Rhinolophus ferrumequinum: one gene and its partners. The protein of the gene in region 3 purifies or fractionates together with the protein of the main gene of each other region. This does not show direct contact. Links are inferred from orthologs where the notes say so. Each region holds a gene or a part of one and is shown on either strand. Other genes may lie near its edges. The genes, in order: PDGFRB, ARHGEF7, NCK1 and WASL.

Evidence for each region.
Region 1: the proteins of NCK1 (region 3) and PDGFRB purify together in Homo sapiens (affinity purification with western blotting; 3 studies listed by BioGRID and IntAct, with this or other methods). This does not show direct contact. The link is inferred for Rhinolophus ferrumequinum from reciprocal best matches to the Homo sapiens genes NCK1 and PDGFRB.
Region 2: the proteins of NCK1 (region 3) and ARHGEF7 purify together in Homo sapiens (co-immunoprecipitation; 3 studies listed by BioGRID and IntAct, with this or other methods). This does not show direct contact. The link is inferred for Rhinolophus ferrumequinum from reciprocal best matches to the Homo sapiens genes NCK1 and ARHGEF7.
Region 4: the proteins of NCK1 (region 3) and WASL purify together in Homo sapiens (co-immunoprecipitation; 4 studies listed by BioGRID and IntAct, with this or other methods). This does not show direct contact. The link is inferred for Rhinolophus ferrumequinum from reciprocal best matches to the Homo sapiens genes NCK1 and WASL.

The regions. Positions count from the first base shown.
Region 1 is NC_046307.1:22,396,157-22,403,385, forward strand, and holds the start of PDGFRB (platelet-derived growth factor receptor beta), read right to left. Parts: upstream 3,230-7,229; 5' UTR 2,769-3,229; intron 369-2,768; 5' UTR 211-368; intron 1-210. UniProt on the Homo sapiens protein: Tyrosine-protein kinase that acts as a cell-surface receptor for homodimeric PDGFB and PDGFD and for heterodimers formed by PDGFA and PDGFB, and plays an essential role in the regulation of embryonic development, cell proliferation, survival, differentiation, chemotaxis and migration.
Region 2 is NC_046287.1:54,063,144-54,071,370, reverse strand, and holds the start of ARHGEF7 (rho guanine nucleotide exchange factor 7), read right to left. Parts: upstream 3,221-8,227; coding exon 3,056-3,220; intron 1-3,055. UniProt on the Homo sapiens protein: Acts as a RAC1 guanine nucleotide exchange factor (GEF) and can induce membrane ruffling. Functions in cell migration, attachment and cell spreading. Promotes targeting of RAC1 to focal adhesions. May function as a positive regulator of apoptosis.
Region 3 is NC_046300.1:36,440,289-36,447,334, reverse strand, and holds the start of NCK1 (cytoplasmic protein NCK1), read right to left. Parts: upstream 3,117-7,046; 5' UTR 2,991-3,116; intron 1-2,990. UniProt on the Homo sapiens protein: Adapter protein which associates with tyrosine-phosphorylated growth factor receptors, such as KDR and PDGFRB, or their cellular substrates. Maintains low levels of EIF2S1 phosphorylation by promoting its dephosphorylation by PP1.
Region 4 is NC_046309.1:20,782,494-20,790,500, reverse strand, and holds the start of WASL (actin nucleation-promoting factor WASL), read right to left. Parts: upstream 3,153-8,007; 5' UTR 2,809-3,152; coding exon 2,689-2,808; intron 1-2,688. UniProt on the Homo sapiens protein: Regulates actin polymerization by stimulating the actin-nucleating activity of the Arp2/3 complex. Involved in various processes, such as mitosis and cytokinesis, via its role in the regulation of actin polymerization.

The DNA of each region.
Region 1 (7,229 bases), on a different chromosome or scaffold from region 3:
ACGGGGTGGGGTGGGGGGGCTGTGGAAAACAGTGGAAGGAGATCTCTCTCCATTCCAAGGGTCCACTGCCCACAGGGTTCTGAACCGTGTGCAAAAAATGGGGTAGGCAGGAGGAGCATTTCAAGGATGTTTGGGGACCCTCTCAATCCTCCCTTCCTCCTCACCACACTCAACAGGCTGAGCAAAATCCCCTCCTTCAGCCCACTGTACCTGGAGGATGGAAGTGAGCCTTTAGAATACGCACGTTGGCCAGGCCCCTTCCATGGGCATGGTCCTTTACGGGTTGCAGACCAATTTCACAGCCAAGTGTCCTGTGCAGGAGGCGGGAGAGCAGCGGCCCTCTCTTAGCCAATGGTATCAGGTCCTGTCTGTGAAATGCAGGGACTGTGCTAAGCGTCTGACCTACCCTGTTATCTCATGGGACCCACATATCGCCCTGCCGCTCACGGAGCTGAGAGCTGATGCCCAGAGGAGCAGAGCAGTAGCCCAGGGTCACACAGTCAGGCAGAAGTCAACTCGGGGGTTAACGCATGGCCAACTGACACTCAGACCTGGTGTTGTTTACCCACGGTGCCCACTGCCCTCCAGATGCGGAGGCAGCCCAGAAAGAACAAGTGGGGGTCTGAGGCTGGCCACACAGTGGATTTGAATTAAGCCAGGGCAAGCGCCAGCTCTCCTGACTCTGAATCCACGGTGCTTTCCACTGCCCCACATCTGTGGGCAATTACAAGTCTCAACTCTTCTTCCCACAGAGGAGGGAGGGCTGCCTGAGCATGGGGGAGGGGAGGATGCGGACCAGGTGGGTTTCTTCCCCACTCCAGACGGAGCCAGGGTCGGGCAGACCCAGGAGCAGGTCAGGCTGCTGCTGAACCTTCTGCTTCGGACCATGCTAGAGGCAGGCGCAGGCTATGTGGGCGGATGGAGATATGCTCCCCTAGGACCAGGCAGACCGGGGGCCTAAATACCACCTCTACTGTGTGACCCTGGGAAAGTCACTTAGCTTCTCTGAGCCTCTGTTTTTTTGTCTGCAAAGCAGGGGGAATCATGCTGATTCCAAAGAGCTGCTGTGGGGATTCCAAGGCATGTGAGGTCCCAGGCTCTGCACCTGGCACAGAGTCAGCACTCAGTGACAATGACCAACAAGTGTCGTGGATTCGGGGACCTCCAGATTGGAGGCAGGGGAGGACTCTTAACTTCAGAAGATCACGCTAGAGGCCTCTGTGCACCTTGGGATCACAGAGGCAGGCAGGGACACTCTTCCCTGTTTGACATAAAAAAATGCATTCAGGAAGAACCGCACGATGTTCTGGAAGGGCCTCTGAGGGAAGACAGAAGGCCTGGGTTCTCGTCTCACACTTGGGAACAGAAAGTCCTCAGTGAGTCCCTCCTCCCTTTCCCCAGCACATTTTCTCAGCCCTATTGCCCACCTGGGGAAATTGGGGACAGAACACAAGATGGGGAAGCTAGGGGCCTGATCAACCACTGATGTGCAAACAGAACACGACTAGCAAGACAGGGCCAAGCAACAAGCCTCCAGCACAAAGGGCACAGCGAGCACTTGGAGAACCTGGGAGGCTGCTTGGAGGAGGTGAAATAGGGAGAATCCTTGAAGGGAAAGTGGAAGTGATGAGGAAGAACGAGTCCACAGACAGGATTATGCAAATTCCTTCTGGGAATCCTGGGCTCTGACTGGAAGGAATAGGACCACAGGACCAAGTGTGGAGTGATGGGGCAAGGAGAGCACTACCTCCCCATGCTTTGCCACTTCCTTCCTGTGTGGGACAGTTTTGTGGCTGCTGTGAGCCTCAGTTTCCCCACCCATAAGGCAGGCGTAAAATCAGTCCCTGCCTCTGGAGTTGCTGGTGAGTGGTACGCGAAATCACACTTACAAAGCTCTCCACACCGTCCTGGCATGCAGTAAGTGTCAATCAGTGGCAGCGCGGTTAGGAGTTTGGGCTTTCTACTTGGGAGAGTCACAGAAAGAATCCTGGTCCAATTCATGTTTTAGGATAGAGTGGAGAAGGGGCAGCGTCCAGAAGGAAGGAGACAGCCAGGAGGCCTGAGCAGCTGCCTGGGACCAGGAGAAAGGGCCCAGCGGCCCACCCCCCTTCTTCACAGAGGGGCCCCCAGATCTGATGGCCAGCAGGGTCCAAGACCCCCAGCCCTAGTTGCCTGAACATGGCCTGCCAAGTGCCAGCCCCCTCGCCTTTGCACTTTCCCAGCCGCTGGGGGTTTGGAAGGACATCTTAGGAATCTGGAAAATTTGCAAATCCATTTAAATCCCCAGAGGTTGCCTGGCGGCCACTGGCCTAGAGCCAGACAGATTCGTAGGGACAAGGCTTAGGTCCAGGGACAGGGGTTATGGCTCTGAGGTTCCCTGGCCCCTGCTAGATCCCGTTCTGGTGTGCCCTGCTTGCCATCTCCCAATTTCCTTCTCATGCTCCTCCCTACTCGCCCCATCCCCCATAGGCACTGCTGTGCTTTGGAGGCCCCCACTCAGCACCCAGAAACCTCTGGGGTTTGTTTGATGAGGGCAGGGGGCAGCAGGGTTGAGGAGGCTGGGGCCACCCTCCCCAGACGCGGACTGAGCACGAGAGAGGAAAAATCTAGTCCCTCCAGCGCCGCTGATGTCCCCCGCCCATAGCCTCCAGCCTCCTCCCATCTGGTTTTGTTAAAAATATTTTCCATTTTTGACCTATCCAAGAAGGCACAGGCTGGAGTTGGGGACAGGACAAGGAGTTGGGGATCACCCCTCTACAAGCACTTACCTTGCTGCTGATACCTTTTGATGTGCACAAGGTCCCGGGCTCTGGGCTGTCACCCCCTCCAGGAAGTCCTCCTCACTGCCTCTCCTGTTATCAGAGAGTCTTTGCCGGCCCGAAATGGGGGCAACAGCTAGATAGGAGAGCAGAAAGGACCGTGGTAGGTTCCCGGAGCCTTGGGAGAGGGGAGGAAGTGGGGGGCTGCAGGGGTGAGGAGTGGCCTCACGCCCAAGGCATCCTTCGGGAGGAGCAGGGTTGCCAGGAGGGGCCGCCCTGGGTCTGGCTGTCTGTGTCGCTCCGCACTGGCTGCTGCCCTGCAGTGCTGGTCAGAGCGGCCCCAGCGCTTTCCTTCTCGTCCTCCTCCTCTCCCACTCCAAGTTGCTCAGAGAGCGATCCTGGGTCCCAGACGGGGCGGGCGGGCAGGGACTGCGGGCTTCTGGCAGCCCCCAACGCTCACACCACTGCCGGCTTCCCTGCCCCCCCTACTTTGGGGGAAAGGCTGCAGGGCAGCCTCTGATTGGCCCAGCTGAGAGAAGGGGGGCGGTGGGGCGGGGAGGGTGGACGCGTGCGTCTGTTTTCAATTTCAGCTTTTTTCCCTCTCTCTTTCTTTCCCCCCAAGTTTCTTGTTTTTCTTCCTCTTTTCCCTCTGCTTGCTCCCTCCCGTCGCCTGCTCTCTCAGGATGTGAGGGGATGTTTAGAAATTCCACAGCCCACGCCAGACGCTGAGTCACTTTTATTAAAGAGTGCCCCAGCCCCACTCCACTGATGCCCATCTCAGGTAGCAGCCTCCACTTACCGTGGCACCTGGGAGCAGGTCCCTTCTCTGTGCCTCAGTTTCTCCATCTGTAAGGGGAGGTCTGATCCCTTATACAGTTGATTCAGTCAACATTCATTCATTGAACAGCATGTTGAGCACCTACTAGACACTGCACTGGGTGTTGGGGATGCAGAGTGAGTAAGACACAGTCCCTGACCTCACAAGTGCCCAGGCCGGTGGGAGAGACAGACGGTGCACAGGTAGGCACTTGAGAGGAGGCAGGCATCTGAGAGTGGAGCTAGAGGGTCAGCTGACTGAGGGTGGAGGGAATCAGAGAGGACTTCTGAGAAGAGCTGACTTAGAAGAGATGGAAAGACCTTCCAAGATTATCAGCCACTTCGCAGAAGAAGAAACCAAGGCCCAGCGGTGAACTGGTTCAGAGAGGAAAAGAGACTTGCCCAAGGTCACTAAGCATACTTCAGGTTTCCAGACATATCCCTTTCTATCATCTTAAAGCCCCTGGAACCCCAGGAAAGGGTTATTTCCCCATTTTATAGATGAGGCGATTGAAGCCCAGAGGAGTGAAATGAGTTTCCCAAGCTCACACAGCAATGTCAGAATTGGAGCAGAATTGGGTCTCACGTGTGGCACGGTGGAACAGACAAGGGAAGGACCACATTACAGTATAGACTGGCCCTGCTATCCTGCCTTCTTCCTAGGTTATCCCTTTTCCCGTCTCTCATTCAGTCACTCAACAGGTGTTTCCGAGTACCTGTTAGGGTCCATTTCTACCCTCCTGCCCTCCCTCCCCACCAGGATCTCCTCCAGGACCCCGGCCAGACCCTCATCCCTCACTCCACCCCTCCTCATGTCCTCAGATCAAAAGGTGTCGCTAGCCACAAACTCTTGGCCCCTACACGCCACACAGCATCATTTTAAAAGGACTTAAGAGTGGTGAGTTACCCCTGGCTCCCACTACTGTACACACGGGAAACTGAGTCCCAGAGAGGGACAGAAAGGTATCCCAGGTCACATGGACAGAGCCTGACTCTTCTCAGGGCTCCTTCCATCCTGCCCTCTGCTCTTCTGTCTTTGCCCTTCTTTGCCTCTATCTTTGCCTCCCCCAGGGCCTTGTTCACAGGGCAGGGGGTTTGCTTGAGCTGGGATTTCATGCTAACCACAGTAACCTCTCTTGGCAGTCATTTCTTGGTCTTGTCCTGGGGACTGCACAGCAGAGCAACTGGGCTGGGCCACACAGAGGGATAACGGTTCTCAGACTGGCCCCAGAGCAAGGGGTGGGGGCCATGAGAGCCTCCCAAAAGAGGGGCTGGCCCAGCTTGGTAGCAGCAAAGTCATAGGGGAATACGGGGGACTCCGAACCCAGAGGGTCAGGCCATATAGGGATTTCTTGTGCCCAAAACTCCTTTGGTGTTTATAAGTCCCTTCCTAGCATTTGCTTTGGTCATTCACCTCCAAAGTCTTGGCCCAACTGCTGGGACTAAGACAGCTCTGTGACAGCAAGGAGGCATTGCAATCCCTAGTCCTTCCAAAAGCTAGTCTGGGAGTCAGGAGACCCAGCTGTGGACTTGTTGTGTGGCCTTGGATAGGTATTTGTCCTCCCTGAGCCTCAGTTTCCCCATCCCCATAACACATGGGAGGATTCACTGTGCTGGAAGGCCCTTGGGATGCTCTGTCTGCAAGTTCCTTAGAGTTGGACTCTGGCTAGGAAGAGGAGGCTGGTGGGCCCCAGGGCAAGGGGACAGCTGGGGGCCAGAGATGCAGCAGAGGGGCGGGGGTGGCTGGTGGTGGCTCCCCCGGGAAGCTGGCGGCCGCCAGTTTCCGGCCAGCCCAATCTTCCGGCTGGCCCATCTGGAATCACTTAGCCCCTACTACCATTAACCCTTGGCAGACACCAGTGCTGTTACACCTCCTTTTAGCTGAGATGGGGCTGGGGGGGTGCAGAGCCATGTGGAACACAACAGGGCATTCTCCGAGGGCGGGACGGGTGAGACAGAAGGGTCATGACTGACAGGGCAGGTTTGAGAACCAGAGACAGAGCTGGGTTCAAATCCTAGCTTCTGTAGTTCCAAGCTACGTGACCTTGGGCAAGTAAGTCATTTAAGCTTCTGAGCCTCAGTTTTCTCCTCTGGAAAATGGATAATTTGAGGAATGATTCGTAGAACTGTTGCCATATGTAATGCACTTAAAGGGCTTACTCAGTACAGTGTCTGGAAGTGTAGGATTGAAATAGTGGGTTTCATTCCAGCAGCACCCCATCACTGTGTGCCCCTGGGCTGAGCCCTCCTTCTCTGGACCTCATTTCCCCCTGTGCACTTTGAAGGGGTGGGCAGTGGGCAGTGCAGCACCTCTGCTCTGGCATGGCCAGGAGGAGCCATGAACAGTCTCCCACCTGCCCAGATGCCGGGAGCCTGGTCCGGCCTCAAACAATCCTGTGTTGGAGGAGGCTGGGCTGAGAGTGGGTGGGCATGGCGTGGAGTGTGGGAGTCCTGCCTGACGTAGAGTGGGATATGGTGCAGAGGCAGAGCGGAGCTCTGTGCCTTGGGGTCCAGCACTTCCTCCCCACTGTGTAGCGGCACGTTCAAGCTGAGCTCTGATGTCTGTAGTTCCGACCCAGCTCTGCCTCTTCCTCGCTGTGGGTCCTGGACAAATTACATGATCTGAGCTCTCTCAGCCTCAGTGTTTTCAGCTATAAAATGGGGATACATGTGCTTACCTCACAGAGTTGTTGAGAGGCCTAAATAAGTGATGCACAGAAGGCATTTTATACAAGGAATGCAGCAGAGCAAAAAGATCCACAACAGGTGACGGAGTCTCAGGTGTCTCTGGGAGCCGCTGTCATAGCAGCCCTCCATCAGGGCAGGAGGAAAGCTCAGCCCACCCCTCATTGTACAGCCAGGATGACTGAGGCCCAGTGATGGAAAATGACTGCAAGACCAGGACTGGAACTGAAGTTTTTGTCTAGACTCTCAGGCCCATGCGCTTCCTGAAGGAGGGAACCAGGCTGAACGAAACCACCCCCCAGCCCCCCACCCACGCCTGACAGAGCCGGAAGCCACAGTTCTCAGTGGGGTGGGTGTGGGGGGAGAAGGGGTCCTGAAAGGGCGCCTGAGTGGGAGAATTCCCAGTAGGCCGGCTCAGTTCTCACTCAGGCAGGGCCAGCGGCCACCACATCTGGCTCTCCCACGCTCCCGGGACTGGCCCCTCCACCCCCAGGCTCCCCAGGCTCAGGCCGAGGAAGCAGCACACGTCTACCCAGGCACCATCAGCACAGTCATGGTCAGAAGAGTCCTAAGAGTGAGTTCATTATACAGGCATGGAAACTGAGGCCTAGGGAACAGAGGGGACTTGCCCAAGGTTAGCAGAGAGAGAAAAGTTAGCAGGACTCCTGGCCCCCAGCTCAGTATCCTTCCACCCTGTACACCCTGAGCAGGTAGGTCCTTGTACTTGCAGCCGGGGAGCTAGAAGAGGCCCACAGTGGGAATTGCCCTTCCCCTCCTGGACACTCAGCATAGTGGCTGGTTGTCGAGTTGGGCAGAGGGACTAATGCGGGCCTTTAGGCCACATTCCTGCCCTAGATAACTAGGACTGCTCTTACTGGACCAGACTGTGCCACCAAGACCTGACAGGGTCTCAGGAGATAAGGGCTTCGAGACTCTACCTACCTCGGCCTGTCCCCAGCCTCCAGCTGG
Region 2 (8,227 bases), on a different chromosome or scaffold from region 3:
CAATTACATTCCACAAAAATTGACTGATGGAGTGTCTCCTGTGCAGCCCTTTATGGATTACTGTGTGTTCTGTTATCCTGCACATACAGAGAAAGAACCAGGTTCTTTGCCTTTTCATGGTGAACCAAGCAACTTCATTGGCTGCATTTACAAGTCTAATTAAAGCAGCATTTCATGACTTCCATTATTTTCATGTATTTTGTTAATCTAACAGTAATATTCCATCCTCTGAAACTTCTGTATCTTGACTTCACTCCCAGTGATTAAATAGGCTAGGGATGTTTAAAGTGTTAACTCATGAGCTCAGTGCCGATAGGTCTCACTGGATCCTGTGGCCTTGTGTGTTTCCCACCACAGGAGGACTGAGGGAAGCAAGTAGTGAGGGCAGGTCAGCAAAACATTCTGGCCATTACCAGAGAAAAATCAAACTATGGGATCCCCATACACGAAGATCTGGGAAACCTTGTAATCCCCACTTTTCTCTCCCCTGCAGCAGAAAACATCATGAGTAATAAATAATGAAACGTGTGTCTTGTCTGATCTGCTCATGTAAAGTTTATAGTCCCCTCTTTTCCCTGTGCAACTTTCCACCCTAAAGAAAAGCAGAACTATATGAAGGAGAACCTGAACAGAAAACTTTTTTTAAATGAGCAGAACAATCTGAACCGAAATGAATTTCCTCTTAGTTCTCCACCCTTTTACTGGCTCTAAAACACAACAAATGAGCATGATGCAAGGAACATATTAGGGCATGTTTTCCTAATAAAAGGCATATGGGAAATCTGAGCCACCCTAAAACTTTTCTTAATTATGCACTATTCCCAGTCTAATGGTTCAAAATTTTTAATTATGAATTTGCAAATGTTAAATTGCAGGCTGCTTACATCCCATTAACCAGTTGTCAGTGTGTTCATGAGGCAAACAGGAGTAAAGTTAAGATCCTTTCAATTTCATATGAATATTCTGTTCAGTTTCCAAATGCTCCTTTTTAAGGAAAAACGTCCTCAGACTAACATTCCCACATTCCAGGGAAAGCTGTTCCGCGTGTGCTTTGTGGCATACATTATTTGCTGTGCATGCAAACATCCAAAAGCTCAAATAAATAACTCTTCTTAGGAAATGGAAAAAGCTCATGAAACTTCTGAAACCCAAGGTTTCAGAGGCAGAGCGAATGGCTAATATTTTACTCCAAAAACCTACCTTTGAACCACAGAGAATGAGTAGCTGACTATAATTTGCTACTCTGATGTTAAACTTTCATTGTGATAGTCTCAGTCTAAAACAAACCAATTGGGGCCTACGGGGAATAAAAGAATAGCTTCAATAGAAGAAATTTCCAAATGACAATAGTTCTAGAATATGTTGGGTTTTCTTCAAACTAAACATTTTATTCATTCCTCTCTTTGTTGTTCTAGAGATGAAAGGCATGCTACAGTGTTCTAAGAAAATCTTCCTAGAATTTAAAAGAAAATGATTATTGAAGTTTGCCAATCAATATTAATGTAGTTAATAGGCCTATAACACGCATTGATAGTTTTTATCTAGACAGCATATGAAGTTTCACTCTTAGAATGGAATGGTATTTTATGTAAGCCTATTTTGATAAACTTAGCATGCATTTTCAATGCTTTTCAAACATCTGTCTTTTATTACCAGAGATTCTGATATCCAGATGACAACAAAATATTTTGAGTGCCTTGAAAGTTAGATCCTGCTCCTTATTCCTGTCTTAAATCATAATTTTATTGTGACATCAGGTTCATTTACAAGCAACATTTTTATTTTCAGGACAGGCAGGAAGTTATTCACCCTACAGTGCAGATTATGTTTTCATAAACACGTTCCAAGTAAGAAAAATAACTAAAACTACTATGTATGCAAAATTCATATTAATAAACTCTTTTCTGACCTTTAAAATGTAGCACCAGGACATGTGCAAACTTATAAAATCAAACAGTTTAATTTTTAAAGTCACTTAATATTTTTATTAGCAAATTTTTATTGTGCATTAGGGCCAATATGCCCATTTAAAAAACAAAATAGTTTTTTCCTAATCATGGTGTTACTTTAATTTCTACATTTAACACCTTTTAAGTAATTGTTTACCTTAAGATTATGTATTGGGGGGGAAAGGGAAAAGATTGTAGTGTTTGTCAGATATAGAGAATGTATCCTTTTTAAAAGCGCTTCTCTCCCCTCGCCCCTGCTTTGTCAGCTGTGGGAGAGGAAAGCAAACTTTAATCACTCACAGAGATGCGGGTCAAGGTTCACACTCCAGCCCCGGGGAAACCACCAGTCACGAAGAAAAGAAGCAGGATCTGTAGGGCTAGGGATTCTGTTCAAAATCAGGTAGGAACCTGAAAATGAAATCTAGAATTTTAAGCCAGCTTGAAGAATGCCAGGGCTTTCCAACCCCGCATTTGCAATCCTCTGGGTTTAGAGACCTGAGGGATTCTTTCGTGGGGAGGGCAGTAAATCATTTCACAACCCAGCCCTCAGCTATTTATGAATGCATCTTTAAAAAATGCACAGCAATTGGTCAACTAAACGGAGGACGAAACTCCCATACGATACCACCAACAAAAGCTGTTCAAACAAAGCCTCCGAGGAAGCTGTGCGCGGTGCTGAAGCACGGTTTTCTGATCGGGTCACGGAGAGGGGCGACTCCACCTTAGGGCAGAGCAGAGCGCTCCCCTTCCCTCCGGGCCTCCCCGGGGTCGTTCCCCTAGAACGCAGCCCCGACCCCCGCCCCAGCCCGCACCGCACACAATGGCGCCCCAAGCTCCCGCCACTGGGTCCTCGCGCCGCCAGCGCGCCCCTCGCGCGAGCCACGTTCCCGGGTCTGCGCACAAAGGAGGCGCGTGGGCTACCCCGCGCCCCGCGCTCTCCCATCCCCGCGCGGCCACCAGGTGCGGATGCGAGCCGCCCAGCGCCCGCGCGTCTCCGCGCATCCCGGGCCGCGGCGCAGGCAAGGCGGGGAGCAAGGCCTCCCACTTCCCGGGGCTCCCACCGCCGGGGCCTGTCTGCCGTGGGGGCGCGGGCCAGGGGCACTCACTTTCTCGATGGTCCCGGGCAGCAGGCGCTCCAGCAGCCTGCAGAGGACCACCCCATCCTTCAGAGACGCCTGCAGGAAGCCCTCCGGGTCCGAGATGGTTTTCTTGGGCGACTCCAGCACCCCCAAGGTAATGAGCCACGTAACGGTCTGCTCCGCGGAATTCATAGCGGCGGCGCGCCGGCCTCCCCGCGCCGCGAGCCCGTCTCCGCGCGGTTCACCGCGGAGCGGCCGCTGCCGGGCCGGTTGCGCTCACCGCCCCCTCCTCCTGCTCGCCCATGGAGAGGCCGGCGACGGCGATTGGCTCGGGCGGCGCCGCGGTCCGGCCGGCTCGCGCTCCCTCGCGTGCGTCCTGGCCGACTGTCAAGTGCCTTTTCATTACATGCACATGAACCTGCGGCGGCCGCCCGGCGCCGCCCCCGCCGCCGCCTCCCGGCTCCCAGCCGCTGCCGCCGATGACATCACTGCAAAAAAGAAGAAAAGACGCCGCGCTGGAACGGCCCGGCCCCCCGGCCGCACACGCACCCCCACGCTTAGTCCCCGCGGTGGTACTCCCTCCACCCCCCAGGCCCGGCAGTGCGCGCGTGTCCGCACCTGCGCGCCTGGCAGTGGACTCCCGCCCCAAGGGCCTGGTGACCTCCAGGAGGCGACAGCCCGCCTGCCAGAGAGGGCTCGCGGGGACTCCCAGTCCGCGGGCGGCGCGCGCTCTTAACCGTTTGCGCCCTGCGGGGCCCATGCGCAACCCCCTCCAGAGGTGAGAGCCTAGCAAGACTCCTCTCCTTGCCCTGTCCTTTCCGCCGCCCTCTCCCCTCCTGGAAGGACTCGGAACCGTTTATTTATATTCTTAACTCATAAATGTTTAAATTATTAAATGCTTCCCAGAATGCTCTTTTTATTTTTGCCAGTTTTATTTCAAGGGGTGGGGGAGTGCTTCTCTCCACTACCTTGTAAGCCAATAATTACAGAACACAAATGATAATTATATCTGTAACCAGATGGGTCTAATTTGAAGAGGAATTGATTTTCCAGGCGCTGCTACGATCCTCGGGGGCGGGGGGGCGTGGATGCCCCAAACAGCGTGGCCGGTGTCACGCGTGCCCCCTGCTGGGAGGCCTGTTTCCGAGCAAGTGACCTCACTCGCTGGGGGGCAGTCGGCCCCACTCTCCAGGACCAGAAAGAAACCTCAGAGCTGCTCCACTTTAAATTGATGGTGATGTTTCAAACGCTGGTAGGAAGGTCAAGAAAACAGCAGAGCCTAAACTGTATCTGTACAGATGAACTGGAAGGAAGGACTGTGCAAACAGCTCAGTCAAAACAGGCCACTTGGCCAGATCACATTTGGGCAAGAGATGCTGTGAAGACGTGCAGGGTTGGACCTAAAGTACTAAGACAACCAAATGATGCACAATGAACAAGCTTTTTCAAACAACCAAGGACACTGACACGTTTATATGTTAACCAAGGAAGAGAGCCTCATCTTAAAAGAAGCAGGTTTTAGGTGTACATGTATGTCTGTTTTCTCCATCCAGTCTCTGAGTGCTTTCCCTGTGACAGTTTAAAACAGCATTAGCACTCACCTACAGAGAGCTACTATGTGCCACATATATTAGTAGAGTAAATGACATAGACTTAGAAACCATATAAAGATTTTTAAAAAAGAGGCTTAACTCTCCTCTTCTTCACCTTCTTCCAGAATACTTTTATTGTAATCATGAATTGCATTTATTACCAGCTTTAAGTGCTTAAATTTTTCCAAATGCAAACACAAAGTAATTCAAAGAGCACTATGAATTCTGGAATATGAGGGTGGAATATTTGGTTGTAACAGCAACCACTTCCTGGGCGCCCTGTGCCTCTGCCCAGTGCTCTCTCCCTGCATTCTATCACACCATCATTAGCACAGTTCTCATTGTCCCCATTTTACTGGGGTGGAGATGGACTCAAACGTGGGCTCTGTGACTCCAGGACCAACACACCTCACCTGTTTTCTAGACCACTTCCCCTACACGCTTTCTAGGAAACCGCAATCAACAGCTCGATCAAGTTTTGTGTTCAGAGACTCTATCAAGGGAAGGGTATGGACCCAAGAGTTGTCCACTGAGTCTCCTGTTTACTCTCATTACTGCTGAATTGGAGACATAATTTAGAATACAGTCATTACAATTTCAAATTTCATTATAATCTAGTAAAAAAGAGTAACATTCAACTTGACTCAATCAAATGGTCCTACAGAAAGACAGCTCTAGGCAGTGACCTTGGGTGACCAATGAACCTGGCAGCCAATTATTGTCAGATAATAACTGTAATAACTGCCACCTATAACTGGCCTTAGAAGTCCCTGAATGTTTAAATGCTTTATAGCTACTAGTGGCATTCTTTTACCTTGGATGTACATTAATTTCAAAAATGTTTGTTTGGAGCATGCTAGAAGTAACATTGTTCAAAGCTAGGTGTTTTAGGTATTTAATTGAGCTGTTTTAGTATCCAAGGTGGACATTTGGTTAAACTTAATATTTTTCCAAGTTCCTATTATAGGGGACATGTGCTATGGAGGAGAACTCATTGTTCTATTGGGTTGTCAATGTCAGCTCAGGCACATGTCCTTCAGTTCCCTCATTTCCCAAGAGAGGATTTCAGCCTCACACCCAGCTCGACTGCCTGTTCATTCCTGATCCCAGGCATTGTTAGGGGTACACCCACAAACCATTACCCAAAATTCAGCTGAACTGGGCTAACTTGATTTGTTAGCTTGTGGGTACTTGGATGATGGTGTTACAAAGATGTTAAAATCTACCCCAACCTAAAGCCAGACAGGCAGATAACTATTTACCTAGAAATGTGTAGCAATCACTGTCTGTAAAATTAATTTTATTGATTTGGACCATTATCTAGATTGAACAATTCAGTAAGAAGCAGTTATGTGAAGTCCATTGTATCTATTGTATGTTAAGGCACTCGTTTTATCAAACTGTATCTTATTTATTTGGCATAAATATGGTCACATACAAAAAATTAAAGATGTAAGGCAGGAAACAATAGCTTAAAAACATATATGGCTGAAAAATTACTCAGGCTCGGAAGACATTTTACCAATATAGTATATTATGAAACATAACGTCGGTGAAGCCCTTATCTTAGTTTGGATTCCCACAGAAGCAGATCCTGGCCAACAACTTGGGAGCAAGTAGTTTATTTAAGAAGTAATCCCATGATGGACAAATGAAGAAGGGGAGAAAGGGAAACAAGAGGGGGAGAAAAGTGAATCAAAGGTGTATAAATGAGCAACTGGGGCTCAGATCCCCTGGGGAGCCTCGAGAAACAGTGGAGCAGGTCTCAGAATTTTCTGACCAGAGGATGGGCAGGCTAAAATTTATGCCTCGACTCCCATCTCCTGAGATTGAGGGTCTTCCCCAGGGCAATGACTTCTAATACAGCAGAGCCTAAAGTTGCAGAGCAGGAGGCACAAATACCCTAAGTGGATCAATGGGAGTGATGGTAAGAGAGGCCAATGGTATTTCCACCCATTGATGCCTGGATGCTCCTTTTTAGCTACGTGGGGGCACAACACGATATAAAAGCCATTGGTTCAGTGTATGTGCCACATCCTAACTCTGCAGGAAGTCACCCCCAAGCTGGTTTCCTGCAAGTATCCATCCAGTGAGATGAATTGCTTCTGCCTCCAGGACTGTAGGGCTCTCATGTAATCACCTTGCCAACAAGTGGCTGGTTTTACCTCATCAGTGGGTTAGAATCAGCCTCTGCTGTGGGTAGTTAGGTCAGCCTTCATGAGAAGGAAGCCACAGCGTGGTTTTTTGCACTCCTCCATCCCCACCGCCATGACGGACTGACTATGGCCGGTTGTGCAGGGCCCTGTGTTGGTAAGCAAAGCCTGGGCTGGCTTCACTTGGCTACAGACACCATCTGTGTGCCTGGTTGCTGAGTGTCCCTTCTTCAGTGATACTCTGAAGATTGATGTGGGACTCAAGACCCACACGCCCGTGTCTGTACCCACAGTTTCCTCCACAGCTCCTCCACCACTTCCCTGCAACCATTGATCCCATCTTGCCCCTTCCAGGCACCCAAACAAGGAGCCCAGACACCCACGACTGTGCCCAAGCATCTGTACCCAAAGGAGATGACCAGCAAACTGCTCCAAGCTTTGCCAGTCAGAGGGCATCTCCTCACCATTGTCCTTTAGCACCACCCTGGAGTTGGGCTGTAGTGTGACGGCAGTCCAGATTCATTCACACCAAATTATCAACCAAATCCATTTGTAAACCAGGCCCATTCTCTCTCTGTCATCTGGGCATAGTAAAGATTCCACAATGTCACAAGCGTGAACTGAGGAGTATTGGGAATCCAATCAAGAGAGACAGGTGATTTGGAGCTCTGGGCCACTTGTGTCCATAGTTTCCTGTGCTTTCAGAACGTCCATGGCCATGCCAAATGCACCGTCCCTGATTGGTGGATGGCTGTTGTGCCAGCTCTACCTGATCATTTGGTGCTCCTCCCTGGTGGCTGACTTTCAACTCTTCTTTGACACTTTGTTTTAAGTTAGATTGTGTAAACAGCATAAGCTGTAGTTTATTTTTTATGCCTCTTTGATAGTGTCTGTGTTTTTTTAAATAGGAAAATAAGTCCATTCGGATTTAGTGTACTGCCTGATTCACTTTATCTTTTCCTATCCCTTTAAATAAATTATGTGTTTTATATTGTTGTAAACCTACTTTTTATAAAGCAACAGACATTTGAAGATTAAACTATTCCAATATTAAATCCTAATGACACTATAACAGCCAGGGCTTGTTGGAAAACAAAGTGTTTTACAAATCTGTTTTATCCTCCATGTGAATTTAGCTCAAAGATACCAATGACTGTCATCCTCAGTGCTCTTGACTGGATACTACATAAAATAATGGAGACAAGAATAGACGACTGGGCAAGAGGACTTTTTTGATCTGTTGTCAAGTCTGAAATGAACATTAATCTTAAAAGAGGGTAGTGTTTTGATTTTTCTTTTAAAACACCCATTGATATTTTTACCTATATTCCATGCAAAGCCTTAAAAAAATTTCTGTTGGAGAAGTACTTTTTGAAAAAGAACAGAAGCAGATACCAACAAATAACTATTTGGTGACATAATTAGTTGCCTGCCATATTTTATCCTGGGGTAGC
Region 3 (7,046 bases):
GCCCCCAAAGATTCAGTCTCTTTATCAAGAAACTGAAACAAACTCCAGCAGTAAAACTTGTAAGAGATTCATTTACTTTTTAGTGGGTCATAGGAAGCAACTATAGAGATATTTTTGTTAATGTTGTTGATACAAAAGGCTGTACATAGACTTTTAAATCACTGTTTCAATAATTTAAATAATGCAGGTCATGAAGGTTCCTCTGTCCCCATAAAAAGTTCTGAATTTATGAGAAAGCTCAAGTACACAAAACGCAAAGTAATGTGAAGCAAACAACACAAAACAACATTGCAAGAGAGGAATAATACAGTTTCATAAGAGACACACAGGAAATTTCTAAAAATATACAGAACTTGAGTTAGGAAATAATATAGGAAGTCAAGGATTGAGTCTTAACTCTGCCACCATTACAAGATGTGTGAATTTCAGTGCAGTTATTCTGTATGCATTGCATTTTCCTTATCTATAAAACGGAAGGTTAGATTCCAACTTTCCCACAATATCGTTCCATGATATTATGATACATGCCCATATCAGATTAAAACCCAATGATAAAATAAGGGCTATAAGTTCAAAGGAAAACACAGAGAATAGAAAGATCTGGAAGGCTGCGATGAAGGACCAAAAATGAAACTTCAACAAAATCTGACTTCGTTTGCTACTTGGGTTCTTTAGCGAGATAAATTTCTTTTAAAGAACACCTAGACTACGCATAGACATTCAAAGTCTCAACAGATATAAAGGTAGAAAAATACAAAGTCTAAATGAGAACGCGATTGGTTTGGTTAGGGTGTACAGCTCCTATAGAGAAACAGAGATGTCATTAGAAAAACTAGGGTTTGAGCATATTGTTAGAAGGCTAGGAATTCTGAACTATATAGGTAACTGGGAGCTATTGCTGGTTTAACAGTGAGTGATATGTTCAAAGCATTATTTTAAGATTAGGCAGAAGGCTGGACGTAGTGAGTAGGAAGAAACGGCAGATTGAAAACCTAGTTAAAAGCTAGTGGAAATGAACAGATACCTGAAAGAAATTTTTAAAAATGGCTTGACAAAAACTGGCCAACATTATGTGGATTGAGGGAGTCAAAGATAAAACCAAGATTTGTATCATCAAAACAGCATATGGAATCAGTTTTGAAAAAAGGACTATAAATTCTATCTTTGAAATAGTTTAAAATGAGGATCATCCAGATAGAATTTTGGCCCTGTCAGTTGTCTTCCTAAAACAAGCATAGCAAAGTATTCATGAAGAATTTGTTAAATGCTTAGTGATTTCAAGAGTTTCCTCCAATTTTATGTATCAACTAAATAGTCATTTAGTCTTCATGTGTAGGTAGAAAACATTTGGTAATTTTCTGTATTATAAAGGTGAGTAAATTGTAAAAGTTATTAAACTATGATTTAAAAAATGGACTACATCTGTATTTATTAAATCAAGTCTTCCTGACAAGTGATTTATAACAATCAAATGTACCTTGAGCTTTGGGAGGAAAGTTCTCAAAGGTCCAAAGGAAATAAATCCAGCAGCATAAAGTATCACTCAGTATCTAATAAAACATTCTCTGTATGCTTCTAGTTTTATTTACATGGACCTGAAAGCAGTGGTAAAACCCGGACTAAAAGATAACGCTTAGAAAAATAAACAATTTAAAATTTAATATGCAAATAAGCACCATTGAGGAGTCTTGAACTCTGCAAATAGTGTTTACAGATATTATAGCTAATTCCTATAGATCACAATTTTCCCAAAGAAGAAAATTCCAGAATTTGTGATCAAGATGAAACAAAACTACTACTAGTCAACCAATGCATATTTCTTCAGTTACTGTCAAACTGAATGGAATGCCTATTTTAAAAACTGAATAGTGTAATTACCAAACAAACCAAACCTTCTTAAATTATTTCCCCATTTACTGTGTGACCTCGCTGAAAATTGAGACTGTAGGTACAGTGCTTTCCAGGTGCTTAATAAATTGCATAGTTGGTTTTCACATATCTACCAAAGTTAAGATTTTAAAAATGAATACCTCGGCAACACTTTGCCTTTTTAACCGGACACTGAACTTCTTTGCTCATCACCCAAGACGGAGTTAAAAAATTCTCCTTAACTTCATCCTTTCCTAACTCGTAAGGTTTCTTACCAAATCTAACGGGCAGAATTATTTTCAGATGACCAGTTCATCAGTTCGACAATAATTGAGCGTCTATAATGTTATGGTTCTCAACCCTGAACAAAATTCAGCTTCTCGAGCTCCTATTGGCAAATTTAACTTCATGGAAACACGTAAGAAAGGTTACAAAACCAACCTATCGAGGTAATTTTTTTTTTTACCGGATATATTACAACTCAAGTCAAAAGCTCACAGCCCAAGCAACTCACGTACGGAACTATTAAAATAATCCAGATTTCCCAAGAACCAGGGAAACGGCTGGGGTGGGGGAGGGGCCGAGGGCGCATCCTGTAGATGTCCACCCTCCGCACAGGGCACGGGTCCCTCCCTCCCCTCCTCTAGGGCTGGAGGTGAGCGCGCCCCTTCCTTCCCCTACCACGTTCATACCTTCCTGCCCTTGCATTACGCCTTAACAGGCAAGATGACTTTTTGGGAGGAAAAGAAACAGAAGCGCGCACGCTGTACACTCCACCTCCCAACCTCGCAGGGGCCGCCAGCCAGGGGGCTCACCCAGACCTGGCGCTTGGGGGACGGACAGGGAAGACGCGGGGCCGCGCCCCCCAGGGCAGTGGCCGGAGGGTGCGCCAAGCCACAGTGCAAACGCCCAGGTCAGCCGAGAGGCCTCCCCGCCCCCTCAGGCTCAGCTCCTGGCCCGCAGACGGCGCCCCCCGGGCCAACTTCGCCGGGGAAGAGGAAGCGACGCAGCTAATAACACGTTATGTGAACGCAAGGGGCAAGGAAAGGGTCTCTGTGCGTCTGCCTGCCGGCAGAGCCGTCTCTCCTTCCCTCTGCCGAGCCCCAGCGGCCCCAGCTCACCTGAGGAGGGCACCCGGACGCCGCCGCGGCCGCCGCGATGGCCGTTACGGCACGAGGCCTCCGCTCCGCCGCCGCGTAGCTCTCAGCAGAGGGGCGGGGCGCGCGAGGCAGGCGGGCGGGGCTGCAGCGCCGACTGGTCGCGAGGCCGCGGTCGGATCCGCGCCGGCAGGAAGTCCCCTCCTGACCTAATTTGATAGGCTCAACCGCCCCCTTCCCTCCTATCCCTGACGCGAGAGTGGTCTGCGATGCGCTGGGATTGGACGGACAAGCCTGTCAATCAAGTGCTGTGCTGGAGTGAGCGGAGGCTGACCCCAGAGAGAGAGCTGGAGGGTGAGAGGATCTCCAGACCTCACCCTGTTCACGTCGCGTTTTCCTCCCTGGCTGACTGCTTTGGGCCTTCCTCCTCAGCGCCGCCGGAGAGACTCTACAGCACAAATGACTGCTTCCCGAGGTTAGCTCCAACTGCTCTGGGATCTTCCTCCTGGTTTCTGCTCCAGAAGAGGGTCCTGCCTGAGAAAGATCTTAGGGGCGGGGAGCAAAGAAGAAAAACCAAAAGGTCTGCAAATGGGGACCTGAGGGAAAAATGTAAGACGTATACTTAAATTGAGCCACAAAGTGAAATAAACTGAGTCTGAGGGCCTTCGAAGTGCCCTAGTGCCTAGCTTCTAGTCTCGTTTGTGGTGGTCATGCTCTGAGGAGCAAGGACAGTGACCGTCGGTGCTAGGTTTGCCCACTCCTCGGAACTCAGTCAGCCCCAGCCATCAGCCAGGTAACAGCAGTTAAACTGGTTCTCCGACGCCGGGGCTCCATTCCCCCCTCAACATGCCTCATTCCTTCCTAACCGTCTTTGTGGCTCAGCTAGGCCAGCCTCCTCAGGGAAGCCTGCTTGCGTCAGGTACCCTGCATGGAGCACTGGTATTTTCCCATAGTAGTTTGTACGTATCCCTACCTAGATTGTAAACTATGTTAAGTCAGGAGCCATGTCAGTTTTCAGTTTCCCCCCAGTGCCTAGCATGTGACACATCGTCAGTAAATATTGTTAAAGGCAGTAAATCTTTCTCTCCTGTCTTTAAGACTGGCCCTGTCAGTCCCAAAAGTTCACACTTTTATTCAACTTCAAAATTATTCGAGTTTTGATAAATATATGTGGTTTGCTTGCCATATATAGGATCACAAGGTCAAGCACAAATCACCGGTGACCCCTTCCTGCCTTCGACTTGGCTGGGGCAAGTGTTTCTTGAAACTGCAACAGCTACTCTACGTCTACATCCCATTATTAGCATCCAAAGTGAAGAAGTGGATTTTGAATTTATTCTAAGGGTCTAAATACCTTTGCATATTTTATCATGGCTGTTATGGGTGGAATTGTGTGCCCTCCTGAAATTCATATGTTGAAGCCCTAACCTCCAATGTGACTGCATTTAGAGACAGGGCCTGTAGGAGGTAATTAAAGTTGACTGAGGTGATAAGAGTGGGGCCCTAATATTTTAGGATTAATGTCTCTATAAGCAGAGACATCAGAGAGCTTACCCTGTTTCCACCATGAGAGGAGACAGTGAGAAGGCAGCTATGTGCAAGCCAAGAAGAGAGTTCTCACCAGAAACTCACCATGTTGGCACCCTGGTGTGTAACTTCCAGCCTACAGAACTGTGAGAAATTAGATTTCTATTGTTTAAGCCACCCAGCCTGTGGTATTTTGTTATGGCAGACTGAGATGACTAATACAATAGTTTTATTCGTTGGTACATCTTACAAAGTTTATGGATTCAGATAAAAGAATATTCATTTTTGAAGCTGGAGAAACCATTGTTCAGAGGTTAAAACTATTTCTCCAAAATCACAGAGTAAACTGGTAGCAAAATCTAGCTGAATTCTAGTTACACATTTAACATGTGATGGGGGCAGGGGGTTTGAATACAACTACAACAGGTAAAGTAGTCCTTGCGATCAGGCAGCTTATACCACTACCTTAATGGGGAAAATAAACTCAGAAAAAAATATACTGAAGTCTTAAGATTTTATTTTGTAAGGCAATATGCATTTTGAATGGGCCAATGATCTGAACAGACCCTTCACAAGATTTTGATGCAAATATCTTAACTACTATGTGCCACCTATTTAAGCATTAGAAGAATTAAGGGAGTTAAAAGTATTTTAATTCCCTGCAAACGTGTGGGGACAGAGCCCCAGAAAGCAGTTTCCAGGCTCTCGGCCTCACATAGAAAGGTGCTGGCTCAGGTAGTAAATGGCCGTCGACTGTGATCAAATGGCCATCAGCTGTGGCTAGTTGGCCGTCAGCTGTAACCAGTGAGCCATTAGCCATGAATATAACTGCCGTGGCTACACTAGCAGAAAAGGGGGAGCTAGCAAGAAGATGGTGGCTGAGTCTGCAAGCGGCACAGTGAGGGTTGAGAATTGTGTTGCTCCTGGTTCCTGTGTCTCCAACCCAGCCACCAGTGAGAGTATAGTGGTGTGACTCCCCTACCTATGGCTCCGTGGGTGTTCCTTTTTGGCTTCACCATGTCCTGCGTTTTTATGTGGGGAGTGGGACCAGAGACCCCGCATGACACCCCGCATGACAACATGTTTTTTCCTTTAGTTTTCCTTCCTTAAGTTTCCTCATCATCCATTCTTACCATGAACTCTTTAAAAAAAAAAAAGAAAAAAGAAAAAATATATGAAAAAGAGGAGTTAAAGAAAAATAAGGAAACAGCAATAAAAGAGGAAAGCATTGGGTGGAAGGGTAGCTAGGCAGAAAGTCATGTATGAAATTGCAGCATGGTGTACTTAGAAGGAATGGAGTCCATGTTCTTATGGGATGGGAGTTGTTCCAGAGACTTCCTTTCACACCCTCTGTCTCCCCAACTTTCAAACATAAACAAGCATATGGCTTCTTTTTCCTCTTTTAGTAGATCTCAAATCAAAACCAGGAATCACCCTTGCTAATTAGTGCTGAGTGAACCAGGGTCTAGCCAGAATGAGGCAACAAGAAAATTTTGGTCAGAACTTTGGACCTATGGACTGGAAATGGGGCTTCAGAAATGGGTATTTAATCTGTCTGGGATAAAAACTTGCAAGCAGCTCACTTCATTAGCCTGAAATGAAAGGACTTGGGAAGACAAGGAATGGAAAATAAATCTCACATCTCAAGGCCTTTCCCAGGAAACTACTGATAGCTTACAGTTAGAAGTGATTAGAGAGAATGATCTGGTTTAGCATCAGGTAGGACTGTTTAGGACCAAAAAAAGTCCCACTTACTAATCTGCAAGAACTAATCACAGGCTTGACTGTGATGTATAGAAATTAGTGCATTAATCCTGGTAACTAAATTTAATTTCTGGATTGAGTGTTACTATGCTTTTATGGGAATTAATTCAGCAAAATTTACTGAGAGTCTACTCTGTGGTAGGCACTACAATAGGTAGTGGAGATCTAACAATCACTTTAAAGGAGTTCAATTCAGTGTCCGAGAATGAGATAATATATTAATAGTAAATACAAGCAATAGATATGTACAGAGGGATGTTAAGCCACAGAGGGAGGGGAGTTTTATGTTCAGGCTATTCTGGCAATTAAGTAGGCAAAAAGAAGGGCCTTCCACGTAGAGTCCTGCATAAAAAGATATTACACAATAGTAGAGAAATGCTGGAGCAGACGATGACTAGAAATGTAAGCAATATCGGGCTATGGAAGTTAAGGTCCTTAGACGTTATCCTATAGGCAATGAGAAGCCATTAAAGAGTTTTCTTTCAGCACTTTAAATGTCTTCTGTTGTTTTCTGGATTCCATTGTTTCTGATGAGAAATCAACTGTAATTCTTATCATTATTTTCCTGAATGTTATATCTTTTTCTCTCGCTGCTTTTAAGATTTTGTTTCTTTATCTTTGTTAATCAGCAGTTACACTATGTTTCTAGGGGTGGTTTTTCTTTGCATTTGTACAGCTAAGGTTCCCTTAGTTCCCTGGATCTGTGGATTGCTGTTGTTGTTTCCTTTTATCAAATTTGGAAAAATTTTGACCAGTCTTTCTTAAATATTTTTTTTCTGCCCCATTCTC
Region 4 (8,007 bases), on a different chromosome or scaffold from region 3:
TTATAAAAATAATAGCATCTATACATTTACATACAGTCCTTCTAATCCACAACCCCTTCCAAGAGACAGTATCCATAATTTAGAGATGAGAAAACCAACTCGAGGATAAGGAGCTTAAAAAACTTGCCCAAAGTGACCATATAAATTTGAACCCCCATCTGCTGACTACAAAACAAAGACATTTTCCAATGTGACATGCAACCTCTTACACATCACTCTGAAGAACTGACTTACTCATCAGTTTACACATTTTCCTTTTCAAACACTGTAAGCTCCCTGAGGGCAGGCATCAACCCTGGTTTTGACCTCAGCATTTAGTTACTCAATACTTATTTGTTGAGTAAGAGAAGGAATGAAACTCCTTGAGAGTTGGCACCATGACTACGATTCTGAATATACTTCTTGCTTAACAAATGTAAGTGTGGTCTGATCTGTAAATCTTATTGCTGGATTTTTTTTTTTTTAAATAAACTGTGTTTCAGTACTGTTTTAACTACAAAAACTGCATAGTCATCAAAGGGAAAAAAAGATGGTTCCAAAAAATTAATACATCATTCTTACTTTACTCTCCAATAACCGGAGAGGTCGAATATTGAAGTTTATCTTCGAAATAATTTCATACCAGAAGAGCAGGTAACAGTGTGGTTTTATATGACAGAAATTCAAAAGGTAAAGTTGATTAATAATAGATGACATAAAGAAATTGAGCCCTGAATACAGAAAGCCTATTCAGCAACCAACTCACACTAACCAATAAGCAACACTCTCTTTCTCTAGCACAGTATTCTTCCACACCTGCCATTTATTGAAACCAGTAAACAGTACAGGTAAGCACAAAGCTATTAGTAAGTATACTTGCATATAAATCCAACGTCCTTCCTGCATAAAGCTAATGTGTCTGGTATGTAAAACACAGTCACAAACTACTTCCTTTCTGACACAGATTACATAGCAAATGTAATAAATCAGCAAAATTTTAATTATTTTTTTCTTTGCAGATAATTTAACATTCAAAGTGCTGGAGATTTTCCTAAATTGAACATATGCAAAAATTAGTGCTGCTTTAAGAATCTCACACTTTTTAATTTTATCTGGTGTTGGTAAAAAAAAAAAAATAAAAAATGATTATTTCTTTAACTTTTAGAAATAATAACAAGGGAGAACAAACCGTTCTCAAACAACATGATGTAGTGGAAAGTACACAGGCTAGGCATCAGGAGTCCTGGTTTTCTAGTTCTGGTTACATTACTAAATTGCTGTGTGACTTAGGGCTCACTGGCTCAGCTTTCTCATTTGTTTAAAAAAGCTGGTGGGGGGGAGGGAAACTTGAATATCTTTACAGTTGTTTCCTAAATTCTGATTTTAAGCCACTCCTATTTAATTCTTCTAATCAGTAAACTCCAAATATGTTCTTTAAGGTCTAACTTCTGAAATATGAAACACATCTGAATCGCCTGTAATAAATGGTTCAATCCCCAACTGGATGGGACAGAACACAAAGGGTAGACTCCCACCTATAAAGTTAACAATTAATCCGGTAACTTTCCAGAAACTGTCTAGTTCTAATTTCTTAAACAAGCAGGTGTAGCCTGGTTTGACATATTTAACACTACTAAGAAAAGTTGTAAAACTGCTCTGTTGACATTTCTGTAGGTGTTTCCTGGGTTCCAGCGGCACATATTCTGCAGGTGCTAACAAGCAAAGGGGCAAGAAATGGACTCAGCAGTTGCAACAAACTCAACCACAGTTCAACCCAGCCACCGCAGTAAGATGCAGCCTGACAAGGCCTACACCACAGGGCAGAACCTTCCCACCCCCAGGAGCGCCGGCAGCCAATGTAATGAATGCTTCCGTCAACAACACACATTCCCCTTCCCACAGCAGAACTGCTGGCTCCCAACCCGCCATCTGGGGTCGGAACAGGCCGCACACCACCAATCTAAGAATCGTTCTCCGGCCCCAAAAGGCCAAGAACTACTAGAGATTGCGGTTCCCCTGCGCATGGCAGTGGGGAGCGCAGTGCCTCCTCCCACCAATGCAAAAATAAATAAATAAGTGGGGAGGACAGTAGAAATCAGGCCTGGGCGAGAACGCTGGAGAAACAAACCGTTTCTCTGCAGTGGGGTACAGTAGCATTTCCTGCCCTCCTTTTGCACCCATGCACTGCACAGCATTCCCTCCTGAGATCCTAAAGGGGAACTGAAACCACCGTGTGGTCCGCTTCATTCATATCTGGGTTTCATTTCCTAACCTAACCACTCCTGAAACCTTTGGCACTGTGACGGAGGGGACCCCCCGATCAAGCGGGAGGAGGTGAAGCGAAGGCCAGGACAGGGGCCGGGTTGCTAAGATCCAGCAGCTCGTGCAAGAAAATCGCCTTTGGGCCTGAGAGTCAAGTTTGCACCAGCAGCAAGGGCGGAGGGCCGGGCCAAGCAGGGCTCCAAGACAGGCCTGCGGAGGTGACACTTCCCTGCTGCCGGTCAGCTCCGGGTGGCGGCGTTCGGCTGCCGGGGCCCGCACTGCCCGCACCTAGGGAGCGGGGCCAGGGCGCCCGTGCGGGGCCGGGAGAAGGCCTGGCCAGCAGCCAGACCCTCCCCGCGCCGCTCCCGCCTCCATCCCCACTCCCACTTCCCGGCCCGGGCCCGTGAGGTAACGTCGGTGGTGGCGACGCGGGTCTCGACCACTGACCACACATTTCTTGCCGAGGAAGGTGAAGAGGGACTCGTTCTCCTGCGGGGTGAGCAGCAGGGACCCCACGTTGGTGACCCTCCGCGGCGGCGGCTGCTGCTGCTGCTGGCCGGAGCTCATGGTGTCGCCGGCGGGGCTGGGAGTCCAGGTCCGTGTCCTCCGGCGAGTGGGCGAGCGCTCGTCCCCCCTCTCGGTGACAGGGGCGGGAGGAGGGGAGTCAGAGGCGCAGCATCTCGCTCAACTCCTCCGGCGCGGGGAGGAGGAGGGAGGCCACGGGAAGGAGGAGCCGACGGAGGGCCGCGCGGAGTAAGGGAAGCTCCCAACTCCCGCCCGGCTGGGCTCTGGCCGGATGGTCGCTGCCCTCGCACTCCGGCGACTGCGCTAAACTCCCAACTCCTCCTCCAACCCTCCTCCCGCGGCGGCGGCAGCGGCGGCGGCGGCGGCCGCACAATCCAACATGGCAGCGGGGGCGGGCGAGACCACAAGACGCAGGCCGCGGGGGAGCGCGCCGGAAACTCGGCTGCGGGCCGGGCCCGGGAGGAACCGCCCCCCCCCGCACGCGCCGCCGGCCTCGCCGCGCCGGCCCCGAGCCCCGCCCCTTCCGGCCGAGGCGCGGGCTGCGCGGTCTGATGCGAGGCTGTGGTGCGGGGTGCGGGACCAGCCTCTACTGTCGTCTCCCGGCTGCTGCGGCCCAGCGGCTGCTGTCTGGAGCGCAGAGGACGCTCGGCCCCGGCCCCGAGCTGCCGGTCCCTCTTTCACAGACGTCGACCTTTGCGAAGAGTCTGTGCGGACCCAGGCCCCCTCCCCGGAATGGCTCTGATTTCTGGGGCGCGGAAACCGGGACGCTCACACCGCACGGCAAGAAAGTCTGGAATGCGGACACGGGACACTGAAGAGAAGTGACGTGGTCCCCGGTGCTCCTCGCCGGTTTCGGTCAGAGCCGCAGGTGCCTGGGATTTCTTAAACTCTGTCCAAACTTCAATAGTGGGAGTGGAGGAACAAATAGGCCTCACCCAGCATTGTGAAAGGGAGATCTTGCTGATGGACGTTACAAAAAACAAACGCACTTGAGATTTCTACCGTCCGCCTGGCGTCTCCTCACATCGGATGAGTGTGTCTGTCACATGTAAATCCAAGATCTTTTCTTTTAAGGGTCCTGAACACGCCTTTTAACCCCTGTCTTGTGAATTGAAAAATATTCCTTTTTTCGCTTCTCATCTTTTTGTTTCTCTCAAACCCCGAAGACCTTGTTTTCTTCTTATCCAAAATGACTGTGCCCGTTTGGGGATGTCTGCCATACAGGAAAATACATCATCTGGTTTAATCGTCAGAAGTAAATCTCAGGAATTAAAAAAAAAGAAAAACTCGTATACCTCCAAATATTGAAAGTTACCCAAGATAAACTCTTCTGTTCAATAAATTTAATGTTCAACTTTTAAAACGAAGTTTTGGAATATGGAAATGATAAATACTACCCACAACAGTGAATTAGAATAAACATCTGACTTCTCCCCTTTAAACAAATCAGCATTTATTGGATAAACTTGAACCATCATGTTTGCTAATTACTCAATTTCAATAAAGTTCCCATATATTAAATTTAAGCCATCCTATGCCAAATAAAATTGGATGAAACTAATTGATTTTAACATCTCTGAGAGCTTCCAATACAAATCTCTGATGTACTAAACAGATTGATAAGCCATTATCAGTGCACTTTGAAAATATGAAACTTGAGAACTGCCCTTAATGAAGTTAAGTGGGAACAAATTGACAAAGGTAAATGCGGTCATGTAGTCCTGGGAGTCCTCACACAAAATATGGACATTTCAAAATTACATTTGATTAATAACGTTAGGGAAAATGTGATTTTTTAAAAAGCGAGTGGACTTTTAATAAAATAATTCAGTTTAGAAAAACAATAGTAGAAATGTCAACCTGGAGTTTCCTCTGAATTACAGAGCTAATAAAATAACCTAGAAGCTAAAGCAGTTAGTCTTGTATCAAACTTGAGGCTCCTATAAATTAAAACCGCAGTAATAGTGGAAAGCATTAGAAATGCTTGAGAAATGATAGAAATTAGATCCTTAGTATTTTCAAACCAGGATAGTAACAAAAATAAAGGCTTCACATAGGCCTAAGTTGGAGTTCTTGTTCTGCCATTTACAACCTTGTGGACTTTGGACAAGTTGCTTCTCTTAAGTCTTAGTTTCCTCATCTGTAAAATAGAAAATAATTTCTATTTAATAAAGGTATAGTATAAACATAATTAAACTTACCTCAAAGTTGTAAAACTTACCAGGATTACAATGTAAAGTACCTGCTACATCATGGTTACTCAAATATTACTTGTCTGTCACTCACCATCATTACCTATGGTCTACCTTACCTTCCCTTAGCTAAAGGTTCAAGAGTTGAGTTGAAATGGGTGTTTTTATCGTTATTCTATCTAAACCTGATACTTTGAAAACTGTCCTTCCTATTTAGAACTCTGCGTCATTCTCCAAATACATAGTGAATTTGGGGTATCACTTTGTGTTTGCAGAATTTCTAATTAGGGTATATGTTATGTCACATAGGCTCTATGTTCTCAGTATGCCAAAATTACAAAGCTTTTAAAACGAGAAATCTAGAGACAGAATCATATTAGTTTCTAATTAATAAAAAGTGAATGAGAGCAATTTTTATGTTGGAATGCCCGCTTTTAAAACTTGTAGTCCACCAAACCATTTTGAAGATAGTAGAAAGATGTGGAAGAGGGCTGTGAAAAAGAAGCTACGGGAGGATGGGTGAATGGACAGTAGCTATGCGTTGAAGAATCTATCCCACATGGAGAATCACTGGCTTCTAATCATTTCACAACCTCTTGTTAGCCTAAACTGTTTATTGTTTTAATTACTTTTTTTCCTTTGAGAAAATTTTTAAAATCTTATGTTTCTAAGTGAAATTTTCTGACCATTTGCCCGGTTCTTTTTTGCTTTAGAAATGAAGATGGAAAATTATAACCACCACAGGCTTTTTTTCTCAAGCCCAAACTGCTTCTTTAGCTTTTCCTCAAAATTTTAAATATGGTATTTTGTCCACAAAATTACAGTCTAAGTTCTTATTTTCAACTCCTTCATTGTTACTTTTGCTTTCATCTGGGCTTTTTTCGACTCCTTGTTCTTAAAATGTGGAAAATATAAGTGTGAACACTAAATGCGCCTTCCTTATTCTTTGGGACACGTGCACAGACAATATTTGGGGTTATCCCCCTTCCTATGCATACAAGGATTCTATTTTTCCATGTTCATCGTGAGACCAAGCAGTACTGGCTCTGTTTGTTCGAAAAGTTTTAGCAAGTCCTTTCTTTCTTTCATTCTTGATAGCATATCCTCTCTTCAGCCAAACACAAGACATCTTTCTCTCTGTTTTCTTTGGCAAGTTATTTTCTTATCTCAAATTCTTTTTACCCAGTTTGAGAAATTGGATTTGATCCAGGAAATAAGAAGGATTCTATTTCCCTTCAAGTGAGTATGTTGAAGTTTGTAACCTAGGTTAAGAATACTGTAGGGATTCTATCTTCATATACCTGTAAAATGCACATGCTGTATTATGAATACAACTAAGAATAAGGCAATTTTTAAAAGTTCTTCCACTTGACTTTCTTTGATTCAGAATCTATTCTAGTACTTTCATTTTCTTCTTTCTTTGCTACGATCCTTTAAACTACAGTCCTCATTTTTAACAAAACATTAGGATACCTTATTTATGGAAAGGAGGGCATATTTTCAGATGCATTCCCTGCCGTTATTATACATTGTAAATTTCTCCTATCCTGGTCCTTTGTTAATCCACTTTACTTCTTTACAAATATCATTGTTTATGTACTGTTACAAGTCCTCTGAAACACCCTGTTCCCCTTGCTAATATTAATAATTTAAACTGTAGTGACACCCATCATTGTAGGGGAATATAGAGGCAGCTGCACCCAGGGATCTTGGCATTCAGCAGCCGTGGCCAATTAGCAGGACTGACTTAACTATTACTGCTTGACTGGCAGAACTGAGTTATAGAGACAACAGCAGCGAGCGCGGATATGGCAAGGGGGTGATTGTCCCTTCTCCCTTGCAACCTTCAAGTGTCATGGGTTTAGAATGTTCACATTGTAAAACATCTTCACATTTTCATGTAAATGTTGCATGTGGCAGTGTTTAAGAGAATTTGTCTTGGTACTTGTTTTCCCAAGTTATATGTTAAGTATTTTAATTGTCATCAACTGAAATCTTGAAAAGTAAGCTACCAAACTGTTTTTCTCTCCCTTTTCAATTCATTTTGAATACAAGCCTCTTTGGGACTTTCTTTTTTAGGAATGGATAGTTTATTTACAACCCATTCTGATTTCTTAGTGTTAGTGGAACATTAAATTCTTACTTATGGTAGTGAATTACCAGTGATGGTAACTACCACGATATGGCCTACTCTCCAGATACCTAATGCATGCCTTTATGCAAGAAATTATTTGAAGAACTGAGTGTGTTGTAGTTCCCCAGATGCTGCTCACTAGTTTTCTCTCCCCTGCTCCTTAACTTTAATGAATATTCAATGGCTCCCAATTTAATTATTCCAGAGGAGAGGGGACAAACATTGGCTTCTTTATTATGTGTTCAAGGTTAATTTACATTATGGATGGTAGGCAGCATGACGAAGCCATGTGTCCCATTACCTCACTGAAAGTATTGGGGTGAATATGTTCTATACCATTAACTTTTTTTAAATCAAGTTTTAGATTTATAAAATTGATACATGCACATAATTTTAAAAATAAAATAGTACTACAAAGCTAATAACAACAAAAAAACAAGCTCCATGCTTCCTTCTCTATCCCCATGTGCTCTCCCCAAATATATCTGCTTTGCATTGTTTCTTCTGATATGTATTGTAGTATGCCAAGCTGCTATGTATTGATTGATCAATTGACAGCATTATCTATTAACTTCCTATTGTAAATGGTGACGATTTCTTTCTCTTAAATTAACACTCCCCCATTTTTTCTCCGCCATTATAGTTATAGCACAATTTGTGTTTAAATCATTATCACATAGAACAATATGTATGTCTCTGATGAGTCAAGTATTACACTATGATTACATTTACATTCTTGTACCATTTTAATTTTGTTTTTCACCCCTCAATAATTTCCTCAAATTTTCTTTTGTTTAATTTTTTTCATTTTTTCTATATTCTTTAACAACTATAAAATTTCATCTCATACTATTTTCCACATAATCAAATGTATCAGAATCTATTACATCCACCTATGTGGTTTTTTGTTTTTTT